Linked DNA regions of Oryzias latipes. The protein of the gene in region 4 interacts with the protein of the main gene of each other region in a pairwise test. Links are inferred from orthologs where the notes say so. Each region holds a gene or a part of one and is shown on either strand. Other genes may lie near its edges. The genes, in order: wbp11, histone acetyltransferase p300, ptpn23, grb2, prrc2a, wipf2 and garem1.

Region 1 (4,267 bases), about 260 kb from region 4:
CTGGAGGTGGGCCGAGAGGTGGAGGTCCAGTCATTGGAGGACCTTGCATGGGTGGAGGACCTTGCTGTGCCACATTTCCGGCAGTAGGAGGCAGATTCTGACCAGCCAAAGAATGAGGCTGCTTTTCTCCCTTTGATCCCCTCTCCTCTGTGTCAGAGCTGTCAGATCCATCCGTATATTCTTCCTCTTCTTCTTCGTCTTCATCCTCCTCAGGAATCGACTGACCTGAGAAGAGAAAAGCAGCGAATAGATATAAATATTTAAATATATTGAGAATAAAAGGCAGCTGTAATGCTGTAGAGATGTGGATGTGGCCCTCGTCCTCACCTGCCATCCTCAACATCATGGCCTGCAGAGGAGTGATGGCTTTGCTCTTTTTCACAACTCTTTTCTTCTTTTTCTTCCCATCTCCTTCCGCTGGCATGTCTGCAAAACGCACACTCCGACCTGCCGGGAATACGAGCCGGAGAAAAAAACACAAGACATTATATTAAAAAAAATGCACTCAGGGATGCTGATCAGCATCTTTGTTTCCTTTTTTTTTACCTCTGTCTTTGTTCTCCTCCCTCTTTTTGTCGTCATCTTGCCGCTCGTTGTCCCCTCCTTCTCGCTCTTCCTCGCTGTCTTCCTCAGAGTCGCTGTCATCGTCCCGGTCATCTCTGTCGCTCTCACTGCCACTGTCCTGATCCCTTTCCATTTCCACGTCTCTATCTAAACCAGGAATGGAGGATTCTTTGCAGAGAAAAAGAAAAGGTAAGAGGAGCAGGAGATTTAAAAAAAACACACACACACTGACATAGATGTGTCTGAATGTTACCGGCTTTTGTGCTGTAAGCTCTCCGAGAAGGAATTCCATAGAGAGCCAGGACCTGAGGAGGTGGGGGTCCAGGTGGGGGCCCTGGTGGCTTCTTTCCTGGAGGTAAACGCGGGACACCAGGTACTGATGCCATCACCGGTCCAGTGGATGAAGAAAGAAGTGGCTTGCTATGAAAAACAAAATGAGAACAATAAATAACATATTACATCCCACAGAATGCAGGAAGAGAAACTTGAACAAAACCAACCCAAAAGGGGTCTTCTTCAGAATGGAGGGAGGCTGCGCCCCTGGCAATGGGATGTCTTGGATGTGAATATTTGAAGGAGCGTGGGGCATGTCAGGTAAAGGAATACTGTCGACCTCCACTGACTCGGCATTCTGGAGGAAAAAATGCAAATATTAACACCTGCAACTAGAAAAAAAAAAAAAAAAAAAAAAAAAAAAAGCCAAAAAGACTTGAAATAAACCAAACTGTGTGTGTGACTTGGAGGTAAAACCTAATTTAAAATTTTTCAAAAGGTAATTAATACTTTAAGAAAAGAATAAAGGATCTTTAAGTGAACAAAGGAAGGAAAAAGGATCAGGAAGAACTAAAGCTACCTTCACTGAATCAAAATAAAGAGCCAGCTGGCCTCGCTTGGTCTCGTAGTCCAGTTCCAGTTTGCGCAGCTCCTTGTAAGTTTCCGGGTTCTCCCTCTCGTACAAATGGATGATGCGCTCAAATGTCTCACGCAGCTTCTTCCTCTTGTCCCTCAGTACTTTCTCATTCAGCAGAGGCTGTTGAACTGGGTTAAACTCTGCAGACAAGAAAAAGAATCAAAATGTTATTTTAAATTAGGATGGAGAGTGACTCAAAAGCTTATCCACATGCATGGACATCAATTTATGGGTTATAATACCGCAGTAGTTAATTCTGCTTAACTGAGGCTACATGACTATGTGTGTAGAGAGTCAGCTCAAAGATTAACTTGGGTTCTAGGAGGTTAAAGATGTAAAATAAAGTGAAAAAAGCAAATAGGAGCTGCTTACCCATCTCATCTAGCTTCTCCATATCTCTGATGATCTGTCTGGGATCCTTCATTTTCAACACTGCTGCTCTTACCATCATCCTCTGCTTCTTGTTCTGTGCAAAGAAAAAGCAAAGAAATGCAATCCAGAATAAAATTGTTTAGAAAAAAAAAATGAATGAATAAAAAAAGCCAACAAATATTCAGCTTAACAGTCCAAGTACCTTTTTTAACTCCCTTTTCCTCGCCTCTTTCCCTGTAAGGTAGGTAACACAAACACAAATGAGTCATGTTGACTGGATCTGATCATCACTGCTCGCACGGGTCGGTACTTACTGGCCTGGTCGGTGGGATTCATGAACTTCCCACTCTTGGTGGAGGAGGTTGAACGTCGCCCCATTGTTGCGGTCAGTCTCGTTTAACCTAACCAGTGCAGAATAAACGATGTAATGAGGTAAACAAACAAAAACTACAATCATATTCTAAAATGTGGTTAGAGTGCCTTGATGTTACTGTTTTATACCAAACTGATGGTAAGTTTTATGATCCCACAAAGCTAAATTAATATTTGAAGGAAGTTTAACTGTTTCTCTTTATAATAGTTGAGCTAGCAGGTAAACACGGAACTCTTGGCTCTTATTTTTACATAATTTGGTAAAACAAAGAAGGAATTCAGGCTGCTGGCAAAGCATATCGAAGCAAAAAGCTTGGACTCCAGCAGAGATTCGCTAGCTTAGCGCGTTAGCTTGCACTTGTGGCTACGCCCGTTTTAGCATCAACTGCAACAAATTAGTCAACGCCGCCTCTACCTTTACTTCAGGAAAACCTGGTGGACCACGATGGGTTTGTCACGCTCTCCGTGACACCTAAAGCAAAAAAATAAAGCCACAACCGAAAGAAAACCCAACACTTTAGGGCTAAATGTGTATGAATGCAACGTTAGCCGTCCGCCATGTTTACTGGCGCGGGCAAAAGCGGAAACACGATTTTGACGTCATAAAATTTCAAAATAAGATACTTTTTGTTGAGTATTTTTAGTTTGTTTGAAAGTTTTTGTTATTTGCTAATTTTATGGCCAAACATCTTCTTTTTTGTAATCAAATGCCGACCTTTAGTATTTGCCTGACAAAATAAAATATTTATAAAGTATTTTATTTATTAAAATGTGTGTTTGTTTGATTGTTTTTTGCCATTTTAAGAGAATGGAAACACAATATACTGCCATTGCTAACTACCGAGTACTAATATTAACAATATGAAAAAATGCATGATGATGTGATGTTTAAAACATTTTTAAAAAATAGAATGACATATTTTTCAAGCAATGACAATAACAAGCACCGATTCCAGCCAGAAAGGCCAAGTGGGCAAAATATGTTTAAAAGTGGGCAGAAAAAGTGGACCAGTTCACCGAATGCCCACTTAAGCCAATGTGAGGCCACCACAGAAACTGCAGACAATTGCCCACATTTTCTGCTCACTTTTAAACCATATGGGGCCCACTTGGCCTTTCTGGCTGAGAGCTAGTAGTATTGTTTACATGGAATTGAACTGTTGCTCTTAGGTTTAGTTAAGATTCAGGTTAACTGTGACAGCTCATTTTCTCTTTCTGACTGATGCAGATGGGGAAGCTGCTCATCTAAACGGATAACCTTCCCAATGATGCTGCCATACACCAGAACATCATTGAAGAAGAAGGCTTTGAGCTCCCACGTCTTCATCGTTTTGTTGTGTGTTTGTGGTGGGGAGGTGTAAGAGGAGTGTAAGGGTTGTGGTAAATCAGCTGTTTCTTTAAAGTCCCATTAGCTGCCATGCACCAAGGTGGGGGAAATTCGTTCTCCGGAACAATGTTATCAAGGACAATTTGGTAGTTTAACCCTCCAATTCAACCGCTTCATGCTGGGTGTTGAGCAGGAAGTTATTGGGTCCCATTTTCAAAGTCTTTGATCTGACTCAGCGGTGGATTTGAACTCACAACCTCCACCACAACCCCTCCACCACAAGGCCTCTGAGCTGGAGACCACAGAATATTGGCCACAGAATAATGATACAGTTGACAACTATGTGAACACGAGAGCAAGTGAAGTCTCAGTGTTATGGTGTCTTCATTGTAATGTAAGTGTAATTAGTTTAAAATTTAAATTAAAAAATGTGTATTTAGTTTTAAAACATGTCAGTAATTAGGATTGGAAGGCCAAATGACCCACACCCACAACACAAAACTGGCAAAAGACTTATAGACATTTTTATGGTACGAAGTCGCATGCTTTGATGAAATATTTGTTCTCATTCTATTTCTATCTTTTGGCCGTGCATTGCATTCTAAGATCATACTGTGTGTAAAAACATTCGACTGTATCATGGGGAACGTGAAACGTTGCATCCCTACTGCATATCATGGTTGTGCTAAATTTAACGACGTTTTATTATTCATTGTTTTATT
Region 2 (3,500 bases), about 1.4 Mb from region 4:
CTGACCGGCCCCCACAGGATTCATGCTGCCCTGCTGGCTTCCTCCTGCAATGTTACCCACCGGTCCTCCTGGGACTCCTCCTGGTCCACCAGGACCCCCCTGCCCCCCCTTGTATTTGGCAGCCCTCTGTTTAATGAAAGCAGCCATGAGTTGCGGGTTAGAGCGCAGGATGTTCAGCACCTGCTGCTGCTGCAGCGGGGAGCTGGGGGAGCGGAGTGTGCGCAAAAGCTCCTGCAGAGCTCCCTGTGGGATGTTTCCACCTGCAGCACCAGGAACACCGGCAGCTCCGGGGACTACACCACCTGTGACCCCCCCAACGGCACCCTGCTGCTGCTGCGCCATATTCATCAAGGCAGCATGGCCTGGAGTTGGTTGATGGGGAGGCTGCTGTTGGGTGGGCATCATGGCTGAATGGCCCATCTGGGTCATCATAGCTTGCCTCTGCTGGGGGGACATGCCCTGACCGGCCCACTGTTGCTGCTGCTGCTGCGGGTTCTGGAGCGGAGCCCCCATCCTCTGCTGCGCCTGCGGGCCGAGCTGGATCTGCTGCAGGTTTCCTTGCTGAGGGGCCTGCTGCATGTGTCCGCCAGCGCTGGCCATCATTCCTGGGGGAGCAGCTTGCTGCTGGTCCATGTGGGCTCGAGCTGCTGCTGTCTGGATTTGCGGGGGCATCCCCTGAGGTCCAACCATCCCCACTGCTCCCAGATGTCCCATGTTCATCTGCTGCCCTGGAGCCTGTTGGTGGTGGGGCATCAAACCCGCACCTGCTGCGTGCCTCTGTAGCGCCATCTTTCTTTGAGATTCAGCCACCTGCTGGATCTTCAGAGCTATCTCTACGGCGGCCGCTGGGGGGCCAGAGGGGGGCATCGGTGGCTGACCTGGTGGCTGGTTGGAAGCCTGTTGTCCTGGAGGCATGACACCCCCAGGCTGCTGCTGGGGGGGAGTTGCAGAGCCCAGAACAGGCTTCCCCTGGGACTGGTGGACTGGGGAGGAGCCTGGTGGTCTGTTGGCGTATGACTGCATGTTGTTGGGGTGCTGCCCCGGATTTGTTCCTGATCCAGGTTGTTGTTGTTGTTGTTGTTGTTGTTGTTGTTGTTGCTGCTGCTGCTGCTGCTGCTGCTGCTGTGGGACCTGAGGGAGCATCTGCTGCTGATGCTGTGGGGAGCTCATGACCCCCCCACCTCCACCTCCACCTCCCATCTGCTGGAACTGATGGAGAGGATGTTGAGGAGCCATTCCTCCTGGTTGTGGTTGCTGTGCTCCGCTCCCAGGACCCAGTCCCTGCTGCTGGACTGCAGGCATGGTCTGAGTTGGGGTCTGAGGTGTCGGGGGTTGGGTTCCCCCAGACGTTGGAGTGTTGGGTGCTGTGACGTTTCCTGGTGATGGAAGTCCTACCACAGGTCCTCCTGGCATGGCCCCGGCTGGCTGCCCCGCCCTCTGCATGGTGGCCATCCTCCTCCTCAGCATCTGGGCCTGCTGGAGTCTGTGCTGCAGATGCTGCTGCCGAAGCTTCTGCTTGATGTTTAGACAGAAGGGGACCGGACACTTGTTCTCCTGGCAGTGTTTGGCGTGGTAGCAGCACAGAGCGATGAGCTGCTTGCAGATGGGACATCCCCCGTTGGTCTTGCGTTTGCAGCCTTTGGTGTGCTGAACAACCCGCTTCATCTTCTGGCAGGACGGCAGCGAGCAGTTGGCGTTGCGGCATTGACACGCGTGGACCAGAGACTGGATGCAGCGCTGGATGCTGAGGCGCCGCGAGTCCCCGGGGTTCTGAGCAGCGGCTGCAGCCTGGTTGTTGCCGTCGTCATCCAGGCCGAGCCCCAGCTTGTCCATTTTGTGCTCGTGGCCTTTGATGTTGTAGCAGGTGATGCACAGGTCGTAGTCCTGGAGAAAGAAGAGAAGTCAGAAAAAGATTTTCCTGCTGGTTGCACCAACGTCTGTGCAGCAGAAAGCTCTCTGGCCGCTCTCACCTCGCAGACCGTGCAGTGGAAGCGGGTCTCCACATGGCGTTTGCATTCGTTGCAGGTGTAAACAAAGCGGTCCTGGCTCTGGTTGTGGAGCTCCACCAGCATACACATGGAGCTCCACTTGGACCTCCTGAGAGAGCTGAACTCCAGGTGCTTGTCCCTGGCCAGAGTTAGAAAGGCATCGCGGCCGTCCATGAGGTCACAGGCCATCAGAGGATCCGGGTCAGTGATTGGGGGCAGAGAGTTGGCCGTGGGGCCGGCAATGAGGCGGATAACAAAGAAAACCTACCAAGGGAACACAAAAAGTGTTAGTTTTCTCAACTATTAAATAGACAGCACCCAACTCCTCATCTGTACAGACAAGCTCCATGTATAAAAGGTGAAATATTTGCTGCCATAAGTTTGAGTACCTCCTTATGTTTCTCCATGGTGGCGTAGAGCTTCTGGGAAAGGTCGTTGGAGACACTGGGCATCCCGGGTTTCTTCTTATTGGCTCGGCTCAGGCTGCTTTTGTTCTTGCTCGTCTTTTTGTTGTTCTTCTTTTTGGCATTTTTGCTGTCTCCCTTGGAGGGCTGCAAATGTTTTAAAGGCGATCTTTAATGCATGTTTCAGCGCAGCAGGGTTGCTCTGGACCTGCTAGCTTTGACCCTACTCACATCTGTGCTCTCGCTGGAGGTGCTGTTCTCCTCCCTCTTCCTCTCCTCCTCCTCCTGTTCCAGCTCCTTGATGCTCTCCTCAAGCACGTTGGGCCAGAAGTCTCCCTCAAAGTATGGCAGCTCCTTGGCACTTGTCAGTCGGTCTTCTGTTGCTTGTTTGAAAATGTCCTGCATGACCACAGAAGGAAAAAAATTTTGTTTTAAAATATTTAGGGGGGGAAAAAAGTCAAAAATCACAGTAGAAATGTTTGCAATAAGAGAAATTTCTAAAACTGATCTTAAATGAGGCCTCTGACCTTGTAGTCATGGATGATCCGCTCAGAGACGGCCTTGTCCAGCATTTTCTTGTACCACTCCTGCAGGCGTTTGGGTTTGGGGATCTTCTGGTCTGGCGGGTGACAGTGAAAGATATAATCATCTCCTTCACTGGGAGGACAGGCCCAGATGTGTCCCGCTGTAAACCTGGAACACAGACAGTTTCACAGATGAGCACAAAAGTTTAAAGGACATCCTGTTTTAGTAGCTCTTAAAAGCGCAATGAAGCCTTTTGGCTCTTACCCCTGCCTCTTGACGTACTCCAGATAGCCTAGTAGGATCTCGTGATACACTGCTGTCCTGAGGTGTCGAGGTTTGAAGAAGTGCACGCTGTCCAGGTAGGAGATGTACACCCGCCTCTGGTTTGGAGGGGGGCAGTCTGAGCCGTACTCTTGAACGTGCATGCCGAAGAAGCACACGTCCGCCCCGTCAATGTCCTCAAAGGCAAACAGGGCCTTCATCCTGTACGGGAACGACTCGGACATTTCTCCGCTGTCCACAAACCTGCAGAGGAGGAGCACAGACATGAGACCCAAAGTCCACTTTTGCCCAAACTGCTGAA
Region 3 (3,500 bases), on a different chromosome or scaffold from region 4:
AGTGACTTAAACAATCCAAATATCAACAAGGTGCACTAAAAGAATATTATCTCAACATCATATCTCCTATAGAAATTAAGACTAAGTAAATTAAATTAAGATAAATTAAATTTATATCTAAATTAAGATTTCTCTTTTCAAATTGGGATGGACCGCCGTTTGAAAAAGCTCTCAGTTGTGACGCAGCAGCAGAAAGGGGTGAAGTCTCCCTGCTCCGCTTCATTCTGATGCATCCACTTGCAGACAAATAGATCCATTAATGTCTTATTTTTCCTCGTCTGAGCTGGAATCTGTATGTCAAACTGTTTGGCTGGATAGCTCTGATATTGCTCGCCGCTAATGTTAGCTTGTGGCTACGAGGGGCTGTAAGCTAGCGGGAGAGGAAGTAAACAACTGAATGACGGGATATTAACGTAGGGTTACTTCTGCGCCAACAGTCCCGCCCACAACTCAGAGGCAAATTCCTAATGAACTCCTGCCGCTCTGCAGAACACATGTCCTAAAAAATGACAGAGGCTTGTTGATTTAGGCTAGAAGCGGCAAAGACCACTGGGAAGGATTTTACAGTACTTAATAAATACAGTTGGAGTAGGACTTTAACTAGAAACAACAAATTTCAGTAGTAACTCACTCTAGGGTTTCATTCTTGCCGTCAATCTTGGCTATGATGTCTCTCAGCAGCTTTGCTTTCTCCTCACTGAAATGAAAAGCACAGACACGGTGAAACTTTCCTAACACAGAGACACAGACACAGAGACTCTTGAAGTGTTAGTTCCTCTGAGGGACCACACCTGTACAGCGACGAGGCTTCGTGTGCAGCCATGGGCACCAGTTTGGCAAACAGGTCCGGCCCAGTGACGCTGGGATCCGTGGGGTTTACAGGCAGAGCCTTCACCAGAGGAGCGCCTGGAAGAGCAAAAAGGCGTTTGTGTGGACGAGAACTGAATATCATGAATGCACGTTTACAGTAGCAAAGTCACTTCCTGTTACCTTTGACTGATGCCAGCGTCTCCAGCGAGGGAACCGTCTCATGATAAATGAAGTCGTTGTCCTTTTTGGCAGAATTATACCTTTAAATGGTTCAGATGGAAAACAAAATCATTTTTTTAACACTCAAAGTAAAGATTCAAACACAAAAATGCAGTCACTCATAGACTCAATGCTCACTTTCCGCCAATGACATCCATGGTAAATCTCAAGGCTTCCTGCACACCGTCAGGCTGACCCTGAAGGGATCAAGGCGGAAAGAGAAATGAATAAATAAAGCTTTAAAAGAAAGAAATAAAACACTGAAAGTTGCAAAGAATACGAAAAAAAGCTACCTTAGCTAGCTTGATAGCTTCCCCCAGTTTGTCCAAGGAGCTCTGCAGGTAAGCCAACTGCAACAACAGAAGACTTTAGTTCAACAACGCTGTGACAAACTTTATTATCCATTTTCAAAGTGACGTAAAACCAACATATTACTGCAAGTAAAGGTACACATATTTGAAAGAAAAAAACATGACTTCCCATCTTCCCAAGAGCAGAAATGCATCATTTGATCCTTCTCTTAGGCTAACTCGCTATTGACAAGTGCAAAAACAAACTTTTTTTCCATTAAACAAGACATTTTTCCTGTTTGCAAGTTCTTTGCAAATATGTATTTTATCTGCATTTTCTCCATTTCTTCCACCATCTTTGCACTCACTACCCTGCTAAAGATAGTTCTCTGTTGTGGATGTTTACCCTATATGAATAGTATTTTTATAGATTTGTGTTTTACATTTGAATTCTGCTTTCTGTGGACAAATGTTTTTGTTAAATGACAACTTCTCATGCCAGAGAACAAAACAAAACCCTATAAACTTAAAAAAGTTTCACGATGATAATAATAGCATCAACTCTTTTATTCTGTGTCAAGTTTAATGTTCAAACCAAAAGCAGAATTTAATACAAGAAAGACTATGACTGAGCTTAGATGTAAACAAAAGAGGAGCTGCCATTAAAAACCCAGACACAAACAGGGTCATTGTTCCTCTCATTTTCATTTTCTATCATCAACAGCAGCTGTTTGTCTAAAAGCTGCCCAACAGGCAGCAGAGAGCAGCTTTCACACAGTTGAACTGAAGTAATGTATAACATTTAAAAACACAAACAAGGATTTTAAACGCATCAGTAAACACGGGGATGCAACAGAAGCTGATCAAGAATGTTTTAAAGATGCTCTTTTACTAAATGACTACTGTTCAGTACAAGCATTTAATGGGCTGTTTGCTGAGAAATAGCTTCAAATGTATATTTAGGCTTGTAGATGCAACAGACAGAAGCCAGCCTGACTTTGCAAGGGTTTCTACATGTTTTGGATGTTCGCTTTATGTTCGTGAAAGATCCTTAACAGGTTTAAAAACTTGAAAAATTCCATCTGAATGTCCCACTCGTGCTTTAAAGGACCTACATCATGCCACTATTAAGGCTTTCAGGGTAAGCTATAGCCATATATACAGAAATATATTACCCATGGCACATTAAAAATAAATATTTGTTTTTTTTGCAACTCATTTTCCTATCCATAAGTAAGACGACTGGATCCCTGAGGCTCCGCCTTTCGCTCCGTGTGGGTACCGCCCATTTCATGACGTCAACCTAGAGCCGGCCACCACATCGTGCCTTTCACCCATGAAAACAAGCAACATCCAAACTTTTGCAAAGATGGACGTGCATAGTGTGAATATAAAATGAAAGTGTTTTTGCTTAACACCGCTAGCTCTGCAGAGAAAGTGTGTGTGTGTGTTAGCCTGGGGGCGGGGCTGGCAGCGCAGACTCTCACTGGAAGGGGCTGCTCTCACTTATCTACGTCACAAAGGGAGAACCCACTCGTTTTCATGCTTGGGAGGGGTTGGTGCTCAGAGCACAGGGTTTTAGAAGGGTTTGGGTCCAAATCCGGGCCTCGGGGGCCGTCCTGCTGCTGGTTTTGCAGAAATCCTGCATTATATGCTGCTGATTGGGTGTGTTTAGCCAGTAAGGAGATTCAATGGAAGGTTGATTGGAAAACATGAAGGATACCCCTGTTTTAGAGGAATACTCAAAATACAGCTTTGGGGGTTCATAGTGAGTAATAGCCATTATAATAAACCTAAAAGGTCAACAAGTCAATTATGCATGATATAGGTCCTTTAAAATGCCTCACTAAAGACCTTTTCGGGGCCCAAGAAAGAAGCGAAAGGTTTGAGAACAAAAGGAGCAATATAAGCTTGTCCTTTTCCGAATAAATATGATGTACATTTGAATTGACTATTTTTATATATATATATATATTATATTTAAGCTTCCTCACCACACGGACCCCACAGCGAATCATCTTCCAGCATCCTCTTCTCTGACATCAGCTCTTATCATGTCCTCTTTAACTCTACTCATAAATTTCACATCCATACTTCCTCTAAGCCTCCGGTCTGCAATCGGCTCACTCTGCTCCCCGGCGTTTACCTCCAAAACATTGAGCACGAGCTTTAAAATGTCCT
Region 4 (2,941 bases):
AGAGGAACATTTTCTGTGCCGAGTTTCTTAACACATGCCAGCGTAATTCATCCATGCTGTAGGAAAATTCGTAAATGTCCTTTAACGTAAAAATAAGTATTTTCTAAACGTAATAAACGTGAATCCACCGTGTCTGCATCTTTATCAGATTTATGCAGAGCGGCTTCTGGTACGCGGGAACGACTGTGAATCTGTATTTGGAGGAAGACTTCTGGTTTTGTCTGTAAATAAGGTCTCAATTTTTCGATGAATTGGAAGAGTCTTCTTTGGTTTCCCTGCAGACTCTTTTCTCCCCAAAGAAACTTTCCAAATACATTTATTTGTTGGTTTTATTAGCTTTTAAGCGTTGAACAGCTGCCTAAAGTCATGTGACGCGTCCAGACAGACGGATGTGGTGAACAAAATTCGGTAGTTTTCCAAAATAAAACTTCCTTTAGTATCAGAAAATAGACAAAACAGAAATAATCGGAGTTGGAGTATGTATTTTTGTTCTGTCTGCTACCCTAACCCTGATACCGGTCCTGGGTTTGGGGGACCGCTGCTTTAGACGTCTTGTCTGATTCTTCGTCACAGCATCGCAGTCTTCTCCGTTGCATTTACAGTTGATCTCCAATGCATTGGACTGAGAGGCCGTGGTCGGACGCCGGAGCCTCCACAGCTCCACGCCTGAATGTTTCCCGTTAAACGGCGGCATTAATGTCGATGCATTCACTCAGAACTGGACCAAACGTGTTGTTTAGTGCAGCCATCTCAATCCAATCACGAGAAAAAGCTTTTAGCAAAAGAAAGAAGGCGCACAAGCATTGAAGAGCTGCTTTTACAACATCTGAATTGATTTGAATCCATCACAGAACATTCACATGAATGTCTATTTTTAACAACTGTGACTAAAAAGAACAGAGTGCAGCAGAGCAGGAGAGGTTTTTACTACTATATTCTTTTGTTTCTGCAGAATTAAACTCCACATACCACATAAATATATGTTTGGCTGAGTTTGCAACTTGTCCTGAGGTGCGACTGATATGTATAAAAAAAAAAAATCAATAGCAACAACCACGAGAGGGCGCTGTAGATGTGCGCATCAGCATTTCCTACTGACAGCGTGACAGAAGAAGTGGCGCTCAGTCCAACACCAGGCTTGGCGTGAAGTGTGACGCATTTGTGATCTTTTTCTTCTTTCTTGCTCCTGTGACTGTCAAGTCTGGAGCGACTCATAGTCCAAAAAGATACAGTAATTTGTCAAAATGTAAGTTTTTATATAAATAAAAGTACGCATTTTTAACAGCTTTCCATGTATTGGATCATACCACGATGAAGTCTGGATGGTACATAGTCTTGAATGCGTTTAGGATTTGATTGTTATTAGTATTTTCAGTGCTGCTCTCCACAAAACCATGAAACACCTTTGTGACTAATATGAACATGCAGGAATGAAATGATCTCACATTCATCTTTAAAGCGCTTCTGTGTAATCCTGTACTCCAAATGTCAGTTTAACCGTTTGTGACACTGAAATGTGGCCGATGGCACAGCGTAGCTGCAATAAGAAATACTTTTCAAAGTTAAAACGACCACAACAACAACAAAAAAAAGGTTCTGCTCTAGTTTACGTCCATAAAGTCTTTAAAAAGAAAACCTGTGACATTTAGATTTTACGATGCATCATAAAAATGGATCAGCTAAAAGAAAGAAAGCTCTGATGCGAATCAGAAGCATTAGGTGCAGTCATGTGACCTCGGCATGTGGTGACCTCAGAGTGGTTTTTTTACACCCACGGTTCCACGCCAAAGATCCGCTCCACGGCAGGTCTTCCGCTGAGCTCACATGTGGTCGGGCTGCAAACCCATATGCTGGGACATTTGTGTCTTCATGTATTTGCACAGAAGGTGCACATGGACAGTCAGTGTGCTCCATCAACACAGAAACCAATCCTTAAGCCCCATTTTTAAAGAACAGTTTAGTGGGATGTCTTACCTGGGGAACCTGCTCTATGTCTCGCAGAAAGATTTGCTGATTGCGGGAGACTGAGGTGGTGCGGTGGTAATCGACCAACTCATTGAGAGAGTTAAACTTCACCACCCATAGGAAATACTTTCCAGCTCCATCGCGGAGAACCTTGAAGTGCTGCACGTCATTTCCAAACCTGCAGAGAACAGAAACTCAGACTCTGAACAGTGTGGTGGAGAAGCAGCTAAATGAAAGAGAGTGGAGGGAAGCAAAGAAAAAAAATGCTCCTAAAAACATTTTTATTACTAAATGAAAAAACAAAAGCAGAAAAATTGTAGTTTTATCAGAAATTTGTTTTCTAAAAACATTTTTAAAAACTGGAAATAAGGGAAAAACCACAAGTGACTCAAACTCCGAGAACATAAATTTGTTCAGAAATGAGGAAGCACGTCACGCCCAGGTTGAAGGGGAAAAATATGAATGGAAAAACTAATGCGAGTAATTTTTTCCTGGATTGTGGCGTCAGAGTGCGGCCGCTCACTTGACAGACAGGGAGAAGTCCCCCGGTGCGCTCTCGCTCTCTCTGATGAGGAAGGCCCCATCGAGCCTCTGCTTGTTCAGCATCTCCTCCGCTTTGGCGCGAGGAATCTTCCCGAAGAACCACCTGGAGGACGGCAAACACAACAAGAACTTAGTTTACACATGGGACTTTAAATCAATAACCATTTTGGTTTGGGATCACTAAGTTGATGCAAACGTGCAGAAGAAACCGTATGGAAGACACCTCTGATGCTACGTTCACACCGCCTTAAGCGACACAGGTTCAAGCATCCACTTCAGATGAAAAGTCTATGGAAACGCTCCTAAATATGGGTTTGGGCCTTCCGCAATCAAAACTCACACATTTACGCGTAGCTATGAAAGCTTTTACGACCATTTTTCAGGCTCCATGTAGAAAACGCGCTGCCACTGAATGCGTGTTGAAAGTTAAACC
Region 5 (3,532 bases), on a different chromosome or scaffold from region 4:
CAGTGGTGTAAATAAGATGGACACCCCTTCCTAGGTGTTAGCTGGATTTTTCTTCTTCTTCCTCCGTTTTACTGCAAGTTTTACTGCAAGATCTAAAGCCGCCATCTGTCGGTCGCCCTCTGAATTACAACTCCATAGACTTGCAATGGTGATTCACATAAAATACGTACAATTCATCTTTAATAATACGTACAACTCATCTTTAATAACAAGCAAATAAACACAGAAAAATTCCAAACTTCATCAAGAATAATTCAAGAAACAATTTAGAGCTCTCAGTAACGTAAATAAGATGGTCCCCTCTCCTGGCTGTCAGTTGGATTCTTCTTCTTCTTCCGTTTTACTGTAAGACCTCCAGCCGCCATCTGTCGGTCGCTTTCTGAATTACAACTCCATAGACTTGCAATGGTGAATCACAAAATAAGTACAATTCATCTTTAATAACAAGCAAATAAACACAAAGAAAAATTCTACACTTCAAGAATGACACAAGCAACAAATTTCCATTAAATCAAAGTAGTTTATTTAACTTTGCCTTCTTTGTATAACTTTATTATAAGACACTTCTCTGCTTGTACATTGCTCCCTTGAACTAAAAATGGCAACATTTGTTTGTGGGAATGTAAGTTGGGGTAGACAAACCTTAGATACATACCAATATACATACATGTGTGTATATTACGGTTCCGTTACTAAAACCATAAATGCTAAAAACTGAACCACTCCAGGTACCTCAGTAATGCTGGAAATGTAATACAATCGTTGAGAGATTCTGCTGTGATACACTACTTGTGTTCATCTTTTAACATGGGTACATACATGAATGCACACATCAAACTTGAGGAGAGGTGGAGGACTCCTTGAGCCGGAGTCCAGTGTAAAGCTATCAATGTATCAACCAGTAACAGGCAATGCAAGCTGCACCCATGGGTGTGATCATGCTAAGAAGTCATAGTGGGAAAAACAAAAAGAATAAGTCCAACTTCATTTGCCTGCTGAAGAATCTATACTTAATTTACACAAAAGAAGTTCTCCACTGCAGGTTTCTCATTTGGATGATGAACATATACACACAGCTGAATGTATACACGTGAATGTATTTAAGAAACAGTAGAATTGTCTTAATTATATTAGTTCGATCACACGCGGGCAAACAAGGCAGAAAGTGCTTGCCGTTTTTCTTTTTAATGTTAAATCCTCTGGTCCCCACCCCCTTCCCGAGCTACAACAGACACCAGAAAACACACATCCACGTTAACACAAACATACAGAAATCATCGAATGCCCTACTCGCAACATCCCAGAGACAATCTTCAAATTGTTGTCAGTAAACAAACCCCAACTTACAGCAGTGACAGAATTGACGCAGGAGAAAAAAAAAAGATCTATTTCCACCTCGGATGCCGTTGAAAGTTCTTATTTCATTGTGATACAAACTGCTTAGAAAGATCATCGACATCCATGCGATGCTTTTTTTTTCCTTCCCAGTCAGATTTTTTTTGTGTGTGTTGCCAGTCAAATCTCAGAAACCGTGTAAACCGCAGAATGTCGATTCGGCATCGTTTTGAAACGTTAGGCTGTCCTGCGTTCATCCACGCTTCCTCAACGGCGAGTCCTTCTTGGTGTGAGGAAGTCGCCCTACAGTGCTGCCAGGGTGCCGCCCACGCCTGACAGCAAGGGGGGGGGGGGGGGGGGGGGGGGGGGTGAACAAAGGAACAACACTGATGATGTACTCTGGGCCCAAACAGAGCACCCTTCCTGTTGCAGCACGTCTCAAAACCACCAAAAATGTTTGATATACCAACAAGGAGTGCTTATTATAACATACTCAATTACTAACGATGCATTCTAAAAAAAGAAAATAAAAAAGGTAAATCAGGACCTTCATTATCAGACTCAATTTTATTCAACAAAAACAAACTTTGATTTGAAATGGACTGTCGCCACAGAAAACGGGAGGCTTTTAAAGAACTTTAAAATAAATCACACTATCGAAGCCATTATTCCTGGGATTTCTGGCTCTGCAAGGAGGGAAGATGCTACGATGAGGCCTCAAAAGCCTTTCTTCCTACACGAGGAGCAACCAAAACCTAAAGAAGAGTCAGTAAAGGATAAGAAATTTTGGGTGGGGGGAAAAAACGAGTCAGTCTTTATGAGCTGAAGTTACAGACAGGTGAGAACTGAGCTGCGGTACTTCCATGGGTCTTCTCACAGTAATTATACTCGCTGCAGGAGACCATAACGAGAGAAATATACAAAAAAAAAATGACGGGAAAAAAACCCACACAATCGCACATGCGTACACACACTCCCTAGCCTTTCTTAAAGGATTAAAAATTCAACAACAACAACAAAAGATCACACAAACCAAATATCTTCAGGTATGATATCGCTAAAAGGATGAAGCTGCGGGATTTCTTCCCGTGGTGAGGGAAAGCGCGCGGCTCCACTACTGAACATCACCCAAGGCCTAAGTGTGAGAGAAGTATACACAAATATAAAAGTCAGCCCCGATTCTGACGCATCTCACGCTTTTGTGCTTGTAAATGCAGGTGTGTGTGTGTGTGTGTGTGTGTGTGTGGGAGCATTGTGTCTCTCAGAACAAAACGTGCACCTGCATTACACAACCACATGCAAGTCTGATGGGAACGGGGGCCGTTTCCTGATGCAACATTTAAAAAAAAGGGGGCATAAATAAACAGACGTACATTTATAATAACGGACGGTACAGAATACATAATGCAGGGGGGGGTGACTAGGATGGGGGGCACTGGAGTGAATACCATCTCCTTATACGGTGATGCACTAACGATGTAAATGCAAACGGATAAGCCATGACATAATGATCAAAAGAGAAAAACAGGGGAGATGGCGGGAACAAAGTGGGTGGGTTTTTTACTAAAATCTTTAATACTCCAATCAAATCACTTCCTGTTTTTTGGAGAAGGCCAGTTGCCGCGCCTCTCTCCGCGATTGCCGCCTCCGTTTCCTTGCCCCCCGGGGCCGCCGCCGGGTGGGCCGCGGGGGCCTCTGCCTCCTCCTCCTCCTCCAGCGTTGACCCTCCGGTGCTGGCGGTCCATCCCGGGACGCTGGCTGGAGAAGCTTCGTTTGTTGGGCTCTTTGCCCGTCACGTCACGCTCGATGAGGTCTCCGGCGACGCCACCTCCTCTGCCGCCGGGGTGGTGGTGGTAATGCTTCCCTCCCCCTCCGCCCTCCCTGTCTCTGAACTCCGTGAAGTCACTGCTCTCGGAGGCGGTCTCCCACTCCTCGTTGGCCTGGTCGGAGTTCTGGTTGGTGAAATCGGGAGACTTGGCGCCGTGGTTGTGGTGGTGCTGGGGGTGAGTTGGACCTGCGCTGCTCTGGTTGTAGTGGTGATGGTGGTGGCTGTTTGCATTGTTGAGGTGGCCGCCGCCGCCGCTGTTACTGTTGGTGGTTAGTGTGGTGCTCTGGGTGGCATTTTGGGCGTTTCCTGTAACGGAAGGCGGGACTTGAGCTTCGCTGCCGTCCTGCACTGAATTCAGGGAAGGAGACA
Region 6 (3,500 bases), on a different chromosome or scaffold from region 4:
CAACACAAGACGGAAACAAACGCCGGGGTAACGTGGAAATGAGACCGGCTTCTGCCGATGCTAAGCAGAGATTCGTCTGCCTGAAAACTGAAACGTTCAGCCAGTTGAAGCAGAGACATGCAAAGAAATGAAGGTTTCTACGCAAAAGTCCAGTTTCAGAAACGCAGCAGCTCAGCTTACGGCTAAAATCCAACACTGAGTCTTTGGTTTCAAATCAATTTTCTTTGGTTTAACTTTGTCCTCATTTCAGAAACTATTTGTTTCTGTTTTTTTTACTGTAAATAGTCTTCAAGAGATGCAATAATGTTAATGAGTGAACAAATCAATATTTTTGTCTACTGAGATAAAAAATTCAGATTTTGTTTGTTCGTTTAGGGGGAATTTGTTGACATTTCAGTCTCAGGGTCAAAACGACTCGGTGGCGGTTCATCTCCTGAGCTTCATGGCGTGTCGGCCTGGAGACTCGTGGAAGAGCGTTCCTGGTAATCAGGAAACAAAGCGCCGTTTTGCATACGAGCAGGAGGTGGTTTGCTTATCTTTGAACAGCCGCCTGCATCACAGAAAAATCCTAAACAAACTAGTTCCACTGAAGAACAGCAGCAGCCATTTTCACACAGATTCGCCTTTGATGAAGTCGTGGGAAAAACGGAAGAATCCATTCCTGCTTTCCGTGTCCCCAACGCCACGTGGACGGAGGGATGGAGGCGGGACTCACCTGTGTTTGGTCTAGAAGAGGAGGAGCTGGAGTGACCGTTGCGGATGGGTGGAGGAGGAGGGGGCGGCCCCGCTGGCGTTCTGGTAGATGGTGGAGCTGAGGAGGAGACGGGGGGAGGAGGCTTCCCCACCCGGATCTGGGGCTCTGAGCCTCCAGAGCTGTGGCCACGATACGGAGGCGGGGGAGGAGGGGCATCACGACCGCCGTTCCGAGAGCTGGGAGGGGGGGCCGGGGGGACTGTGACCAGGAAAAAAGAAAAAAGTTCAGGATTAGAATCTGAAGAGTGGAAGAACACTTTCTCTGAGAGGGGAACCGGACCGCTGAAAGGCTCGCTTTGGTTTTCTGGGACAGGAGCTGCGACCAATGCTTTTTTAAAAAGGAGGTGTAAGCTCCTCCCCAGTGGAACAGCCTCCATCAGGACCAGAGACCTGATGAAACTAAAGACACATCAATCACTTATTCATAGCTGATTCATTCTGGACGAATTTATGTCATTGTATTTTACTTTCTTTGAAAACGCCAAGGGGGAGGAGCTTAAGTATCTGGGTTTGGAAGGATACTGACAGTTTGGTAGAGTCAGTTTAATCCTTGGGGGGTTTATATTTTAATAATTGTTGTCACATATTTACTGTTGTATTCGTGTATAAATTGGTGCTGCTGGCAGATTTTGTTTCTTTGACTTAAAAAGTATTTTATTTATCAAAAGGAAATAATAATTGTAATTCAGAATTTTTCTGCTGTAAATTCTTAATAAAAATAAAAAAGGGATCATTCTAGAAACGGATAATTAATGTTCTGGTAATAAAAAGCAACGTCCCAATTTAACACTGAGAAGTGGCAGATGACACGACGTCTGTCAACAGAAGAAAAATACTTTAATCTGAATTAGAAAACGTCTTTTGGGATTTATTCAATCTTAGGGGGTCTGTTAGACATAAAAGTGATGTCAATACAGATCAAGTCAGTCTGACTGTGTGTGAGAACTGGACTGGGTGGCCCCGCCCCCCTGGCGTTCCAAACAGGAAGTAGCCGCTAAAATCTCGTAGACGTCTATTGAGAACCAAACAGCTGTTACTCGGTTTTGTTGGTCAGAAGAACCATTCAGGGTCTGACCCCTTTAAAATCATCTCTATTATTCCCCTTTTTCGTGATTCTTTTCTGTAGTTCAAGTTATTTAAATCATAAACTGGCCAATCAGATGCTCCAGTAAACGTAGGCGGAACTTTCAAAGCGACTGACAGATTTTCTGTAGTCTGCCATCAAGTAGAAGGGGCGTGGCCTTCCAGCAAGCTGGTAACAGTGGTCACCATAGAAACTCAGACCGGCTCGGACCAATCACTGCTTACTGATGTCATCAGACTCAAACATGGTGACTGAATTGACTTAATTTGGTTTGAGGAGAAAGTAAACAATTTTCTATGGATGACGTCACACTCAGTCCAGCTCTCTGATACAGTCAATGGTTGTGACTCATAACCTAATCCTGTTTCCAGAGATCAGGAAAAACAAACAAATAAATCCACTAAACTGAACCGTTTCCAGGGTTCAAACTTTGATTTTACAAAACCAGCTGATCAGCAGCTGCAGTTTGATGTCAGCTGGAGGCAGAATGAGAGAAGAGGAAAGCTGGAATATTCCAGAAAACTTCAGGAATGCAGAGGAACCTGGAGAATCGTTTGTTGGCCCATTACACGCAGGCAACACGTCAGTTCCAGTTTGGCGAGTTTGGAGTTACAAACGTTTCCACGCCGGATGGAACTGAGGCCGCGTTTCTACGACAACCTGGAGGCAAAGAGTCCCTCGACAAATGTGAATAACAGAGGAAATCAGATGGTTGTTGTCTGGATGTGTGTGTGTGTGTGTGGGGGGGGGGTCATGTGATGAAGATGCTATATATGCAGCTAAATGTAAGAAAACTGTTGATCTCTTCAAAAATCCAGACGTCAGAAACCGCTCGACTGCCAGCTGTAGCATCTGTGTGCGTGTGTGTGTGTGTGTGTGTGTGTGTGCGTGTGTGAGACCACGTTCATACCTGCTCTGCGTCCAGGTGGTTCTCTGGCGGGCGGCGGTGGCCGGCTGCCCTGCTGGGAGGATGGAGAAGGAGGGGGCGGTGGGGCTTGACTCCGCCCCCCTGATGAGTGCTTCTTACGCAGCGAGTTGTGTCTCCGCGGGAGCTCAGGGGCCCCCCCTCCATCCACGTCGGAGGGCCCGTTGGAGACCCCACCTGACAGGTGAGGTCTGTAAGGGGGAGGAGGGGGAGGAGCGTGAGAGCCGCTGGGCTGCGGTCTGCTCGAGGACGACGGGGGCCTCGCCGTACTTGACGGCGCGGGAGCTCTTTGCGGCGTTGGTGGGAGGGGTTTCTCTCTTGAAGCAGGCGCTTGCGGAGCGTTGCCGCGGTTTCCTCTGTTGAAGGGGGGAGGGGGCGGCGGGGCAGATGTGCTGTGCTTCATCCCGCCGGAGGAGCTGCTGTTGTGGGAGTGGGAGATGTCTGGCAGGGAGGGGCGGTGCGACCGCTGGGGCTCCGACGAAGAGGGCCTGTTGGGCGGGGTGGGGGAGCTGGAGCGACCCGTGGGGGGGCGAGGAGCAGCAGGCCGGGATCCCGGCGGCTTGAGGGCGGATCTGCCGAGGGAACCAACAACCGGACCGTCTGGGAGGAGGAGAGAGGCGGAGAATCATGCAGACATCAAACACAGAGAGGCGGAGCTTCCAGTGGGCTGAACGTGGGTTTTTGAACACATGTAGTGTTCGTACGGGACTACTCGTTGGTAGAGCATGGACCTACAGT
Region 7 (4,058 bases), on a different chromosome or scaffold from region 4:
CGATTCACAGATCAAACCACAATTCTTTCCATTTAATATATTATGAATGAATGGTCGCCTCATGTACGTGTTTTTGTTGGATCTATAAACATCATTTACACATTTGTTCAGAACAGGATACAAGAATCAGCAAAACATAAATAAAAGCTCAAATATTTTAAAAGAAAGAAAAGGTATTTGTCACTTTAAATAATGTCACACTTGTGTAAGTTTTTCTGTAACCTTCCTGGTCAAATTCAGTAGTGTACAAAACATAATCGTCACTGTTGCTTTGGATCGTTTAACATCCAGTCCTGGAAGTGTTCTCCACAGTTTTTCCATCTTCAGAGTTTGGCTGACTAAAGTTCCAGTAGATGGATGATAAGAAAACAATAAATGAAGACACAGCAACACCTCAATAAAAGTGACTCTGTAATAAATAGGAACTGTTCTTTAATCTAAACTAACAGCAGAGTTTCCAGCAAACATATTTTATTAACTCACTGTTTTCATCTTTAGTGGAAAACACAAAAAACCTCCACACTTTAGATGAATATTTTGCAGACATGTTCTGGTACGTCACATAACTGAACAGAAGATTTTAATAATATTTTAAAATGTCCTATTCATTCTAATTTTTCTTTAAATTATCAACTACTTTTTAAATAAAATGTTTTTTTCAGAATTTATTTCAAAATTTTACTCCCATTTTTTGTATCTGAGAAAACACTTGATAGCTTTACTTTGAAAACGAGAACCTTCTCTGACACTTTACTCTGAAAATTTGTTTACTTCCTGTGACAGAAGTCCATTCAGTTTGTTTAGTTTTTAAACTTAAAATCCAACATTTTTCTGTATTTTACAGTGATAATTTATTTTTTATATATATTCCACTATATTTCCACGTCACAAATATTGGTACAGTTTTCTGGAAAAGATGGCGTATATCTGAGTATTCGGATGCTCATCTCGGTCCTATTCATCAAAATGATCACTTTGGAAGGGGAAAGTGTACCTTAACATTAAACGTGATGTCCTCCATGACGTACACTCTTTCGGGGAAGGCTTTGGCCACCTCCTCCACACTGTTGAAGTATTGCACGGGCTCCTTGACATCTCTGTCCTGTTCCAGCAACTTGAACTGGCCTAAGCAGAACACGAATGATTAGTGCTGATATTTTCCATCGCTTCTGCCATCACATGAGAAGTAAGCAGTTGGTGGTTCATCAGTTTCTCAAAATAATCACTCAGAAAACTTTTGAAAGCATACACGATGAATAATTTAGATAAGAAAGAGCCATTTCAAAGGAAGCACCATCTTCATGGCGGCTCCTTACCTTCATAATGAACTGGGATCTCTATTTTAGGCCCAATCACATAATGTCCCTCCTCTAGACTGTGAGCAGTTATAGTTGTCCACTGACGGCAGGAATGAATCAAGAGGTAGTCGTTTTCTCTGAGGCCCTCAACCAACTGAGCTGCAGAAAGGAAGTTTAACAATCAACCAAAGTACACAAAGAGTTTATGATACAATCAGGTCTGGATGAAGCTTTTAATAATATAGTCTATCCAGTGAGTTGCTTCCTGAAAAGGAAAATATTAAGATTTGAATAAATAAATGTGTCAGAAATTACACATAAAAATGTATGTTCAACTTACAAATAAAGTTTTTTAAAAATGAATCAAGTACTGGACACGAGCCTTTTTACTTCAAAACATTACATTATGGATAACCATCACCTGCTAAAAGAGACATTTTAAAAGGTAATTTAAAATCCATTAGACATAATCCCACACAATTTCTGCATGTTTTATACATTTAAATTATGAAATGAAAAACACAAATTTAACTAAGTAGATGTTAACTTTTGTCAAAGACACTTTCTAGTTAAATAAAGTGTAGACATACTAGGGGACTCATGATGTTGTGAAGGCAATGTTGTTGTTTTTTTACACCTTCAGCGTTTTCCTTTGATTAGCAAAATAGCCTTTTCGTTTTTACTTCATGACCTAAATTCTTATTCATTACCATCAAGGTTGCTTTTATATCAATCAGTTTATAGCATTATTGCACTAAAGCGAATCTTTGTTTTTCATTAGCTTAGACTAGAGCTGATAAGCAGAAGCCTTAACTGGCTAGCATGGTAGCTATAAAACTTGAAGTAAGTTACTAACCGTTATCCAGCATGACAATTTGTGGCAACTTGTACGCACTGACCAGCTGGTCTAGCGGCAGAGACGTCGTGCTCCACGTTACATCCTTTAAGTTATTGTACAACATCGTTCCAAGGTCCATTTTGCTAGCTTAAGTTAGTTAGCCACTTTTTGAGCTAACTGGTGCAAAACACGGTCACAAAAAAGCTTTCCCGAGCAAACTAGCTACACAATTATAGCTGCTCTTCATCTATGCAGTTGTGTCATGCACATGACGTTCCCAAGTCGTAGCTGCATAGTTCCCTCTAAGTTTCCCTACGTATCCAAAAGGTTCGTTGTTAGAAAAAGTAGCCAAGCCATGTTTGTTTAGTAGCGACGGCAGTATCAAGCTAACTATTCTAACGGAAATACGTCACTTTCTACAATTTTATTTTTATTAAATAAAAGCCTTTCCCTTTTCCCCCTCCAATTAAAATTGATGAATAACAAGATTTAAATCCCGGAACAACAACTCAAATTATAACAAAATTATACAAGTACATAGCAGGTGATAAAACATTAACAAAAGAAGGGAAAAGGCCAAATAAAGTGCATTCTTTAGGCTTTTCCATTAGGTTTAATTTTTTATAACCACTTCAATAATTTCACTGCGTTTTCTTTTGTTTGTTTTTTTGCTTATTTTTATTTATTTTTTACTTCTCACAAACAATTGAACTCCTTCTGATAAAATAGTCTGGATTACAAATTAAAAATCTATTTTAGTAAATAAAATATATTCCAAAAATTGTGAAGTTTCGTATCATTTCGTAATAACCAATCGATACATTTTCTAACTTTATGGCTTAGCTATTTTATATCTTATCTAATTTTACATCTTAGCTTTTGAAATAAAAGTGTTTGTTCCAACAGATGTAGAAATTGGATTTTAATGGAATGGAAGAAGTATTTACTATTTACTACATACTAAAGAAAATGCATTTAATTAATTCAAGATAAGTACCAGAAAGTATATTTTTGTCTCGCTAAAAGGTTGGGGAAATAAGAAAAATTTTAAAGAGTGTTGGCCAACAATTCAACAATTTTAAGGACAAGAGAAAAAAAATCAAAACTCTAAAATAATTTATTTTCTTATAACTTTGTTAATGTTTACACTAATCTATATAACTTAAAGAAAAAGTCTATTAAAACCTGAGATGTAACCTTTTTTTTTTGTTTGTTTTTTCATTCTATTTTGTTTTGCAGACTGTAATGCCAGATTTAAGCCTCAAACTTTGCTAAATAATGTTAAAATAATGTTTTAATTACTCATAAGTTTTCATTTATCTCTTAAGGCACATAAAATAAAAGAATAAATTTAAAAAACATTGAGGTAATAAAATAACCTGTTCTTTTGTTTTGGCTAAATATATGGGTTCACACAATTTTTATTAATTCATTTTTAATCAGTGAAGTTTTGGAAAATCTTAACTTAAGGTAGACTTTGTGATGAGTAAATGAAAAAAAATGAAAAAAATACGGTATTGCTAATACAAATCCATGTAAATCATAAAATTAACCAAAGATAATGATGAGGTGGGGAGTACTACTATTGCACTTTACTTCATTATTTACTCTTAAAATACTACAGTAAATATTTAAACACCCATAATTTTTTCAGATCAACGATTCACAGATCAAACCACGATTCTTACTATATTGACTTGGACTCAAGAGCACATGGCGTTGATGCAAATTCATTGAACGTTGTCATCAACTTCCTGTTTTTCATGGCATAAATCAGAGAAACTTCCTCAATTCAGTCACTGTGTCTCAGCGGCAGCCAAAATGTCTTTTGTGGACACTCTGCGACAGTGGGATGACGGCGTAACCTGTGCTGACAAACAGGATTTTTCGGAAGCTCTCCGGATTCTCTTGGCCATTCCTGA

Evidence for each region.
Region 1: the proteins of grb2 (region 4) and wbp11 interact in binary tests that used the Homo sapiens proteins (3 or more experiments, as listed by UniProt). The link is inferred for Oryzias latipes from reciprocal best matches to the Homo sapiens genes GRB2 and WBP11.
Region 2: the proteins of grb2 (region 4) and histone acetyltransferase p300 interact in a two-hybrid assay, tested with the Homo sapiens proteins (2 studies listed by BioGRID and IntAct). The link is inferred for Oryzias latipes from reciprocal best matches to the Homo sapiens genes GRB2 and EP300.
Region 3: the proteins of grb2 (region 4) and ptpn23 interact in binary tests that used the Homo sapiens proteins (3 or more experiments, as listed by UniProt). The link is inferred for Oryzias latipes from reciprocal best matches to the Homo sapiens genes GRB2 and PTPN23.
Region 5: the proteins of grb2 (region 4) and prrc2a interact in a two-hybrid assay, tested with the Homo sapiens proteins (2 studies listed by BioGRID and IntAct). The link is inferred for Oryzias latipes from reciprocal best matches to the Homo sapiens genes GRB2 and PRRC2A.
Region 6: the proteins of grb2 (region 4) and wipf2 interact in binary tests that used the Homo sapiens proteins (3 or more experiments, as listed by UniProt). The link is inferred for Oryzias latipes from reciprocal best matches to the Homo sapiens genes GRB2 and WIPF2.
Region 7: the proteins of grb2 (region 4) and garem1 interact in binary tests that used the Homo sapiens proteins (3 or more experiments, as listed by UniProt). The link is inferred for Oryzias latipes from reciprocal best matches to the Homo sapiens genes GRB2 and GAREM1.

Annotation. Positions count from the first base shown.
Region 1 is NC_019866.2:20,478,051-20,482,317, reverse strand, and holds the start of wbp11 (WW domain-binding protein 11), read right to left. Parts: upstream 2,801-4,267; 5' UTR 2,634-2,800; intron 2,248-2,633; 5' UTR 2,225-2,247; coding exon 2,161-2,224; intron 2,081-2,160; coding exon 2,049-2,080; intron 1,941-2,048; coding exon 1,847-1,940; intron 1,615-1,846; coding exon 1,418-1,614; intron 1,196-1,417; coding exon 1,065-1,195; intron 985-1,064; coding exon 818-984; intron 733-817; coding exon 547-732; intron 448-546; coding exon 328-447; intron 226-327; coding exon 1-225. UniProt on the Homo sapiens protein: Activates pre-mRNA splicing. May inhibit PP1 phosphatase activity.
Region 2 is NC_019866.2:19,347,922-19,351,421, forward strand, and holds part of histone acetyltransferase p300, read right to left. Parts: intron 3,443-3,500; coding exon 3,182-3,442; intron 3,086-3,181; coding exon 2,920-3,085; intron 2,792-2,919; coding exon 2,624-2,791; intron 2,540-2,623; coding exon 2,378-2,539; intron 2,253-2,377; coding exon 1,971-2,252; intron 1,885-1,970; coding exon 1-1,884. UniProt on the Homo sapiens protein: Functions as a histone acetyltransferase and regulates transcription via chromatin remodeling. Acetylates all four core histones in nucleosomes. Histone acetylation gives an epigenetic tag for transcriptional activation.
Region 3 is NC_019874.2:27,587,562-27,591,061, reverse strand, and holds part of ptpn23 (tyrosine-protein phosphatase non-receptor type 23), read right to left. Parts: intron 1,380-3,500; coding exon 1,323-1,379; intron 1,227-1,322; coding exon 1,168-1,226; intron 1,071-1,167; coding exon 991-1,070; intron 907-990; coding exon 792-906; intron 698-791; coding exon 632-697; intron 1-631. UniProt on the Homo sapiens protein: Plays a role in sorting of endocytic ubiquitinated cargos into multivesicular bodies (MVBs) via its interaction with the ESCRT-I complex (endosomal sorting complex required for transport I), and possibly also other ESCRT complexes.
Region 4 is NC_019866.2:20,735,366-20,738,306, forward strand, and holds part of grb2 (growth factor receptor-bound protein 2), read right to left. Parts: intron 2,612-2,941; coding exon 2,489-2,611; intron 2,144-2,488; coding exon 1,975-2,143; intron 1-1,974. UniProt on the Homo sapiens protein: Non-enzymatic adapter protein that plays a pivotal role in precisely regulated signaling cascades from cell surface receptors to cellular responses, including signaling transduction and gene expression.
Region 5 is NC_019869.2:5,521,344-5,524,875, reverse strand, and holds the end of prrc2a (protein PRRC2A), read right to left. Parts: coding exon 2,925-3,532; 3' UTR 501-2,924; downstream 1-500. UniProt on the Homo sapiens protein: May play a role in the regulation of pre-mRNA splicing.
Region 6 is NC_019859.2:1,935,332-1,938,831, reverse strand, and holds part of wipf2 (WAS/WASL-interacting protein family member 2), read right to left. Parts: intron 3,363-3,500; coding exon 2,748-3,362; intron 953-2,747; coding exon 716-952; intron 1-715. UniProt on the Homo sapiens protein: Plays an active role in the formation of cell surface protrusions downstream of activated PDGFB receptors. Plays an important role in actin-microspike formation through cooperation with WASL.
Region 7 is NC_019878.2:10,713,160-10,717,217, reverse strand, and holds the start of garem1 (GRB2-associated and regulator of MAPK protein 1), read right to left. Parts: upstream 2,801-4,058; 5' UTR 2,276-2,800; coding exon 2,155-2,275; intron 1,458-2,154; coding exon 1,317-1,457; intron 1,126-1,316; coding exon 995-1,125; intron 1-994. Other genes in the region: ncf2 (neutrophil cytosol factor 2), read left to right, coding at 3,958-4,058.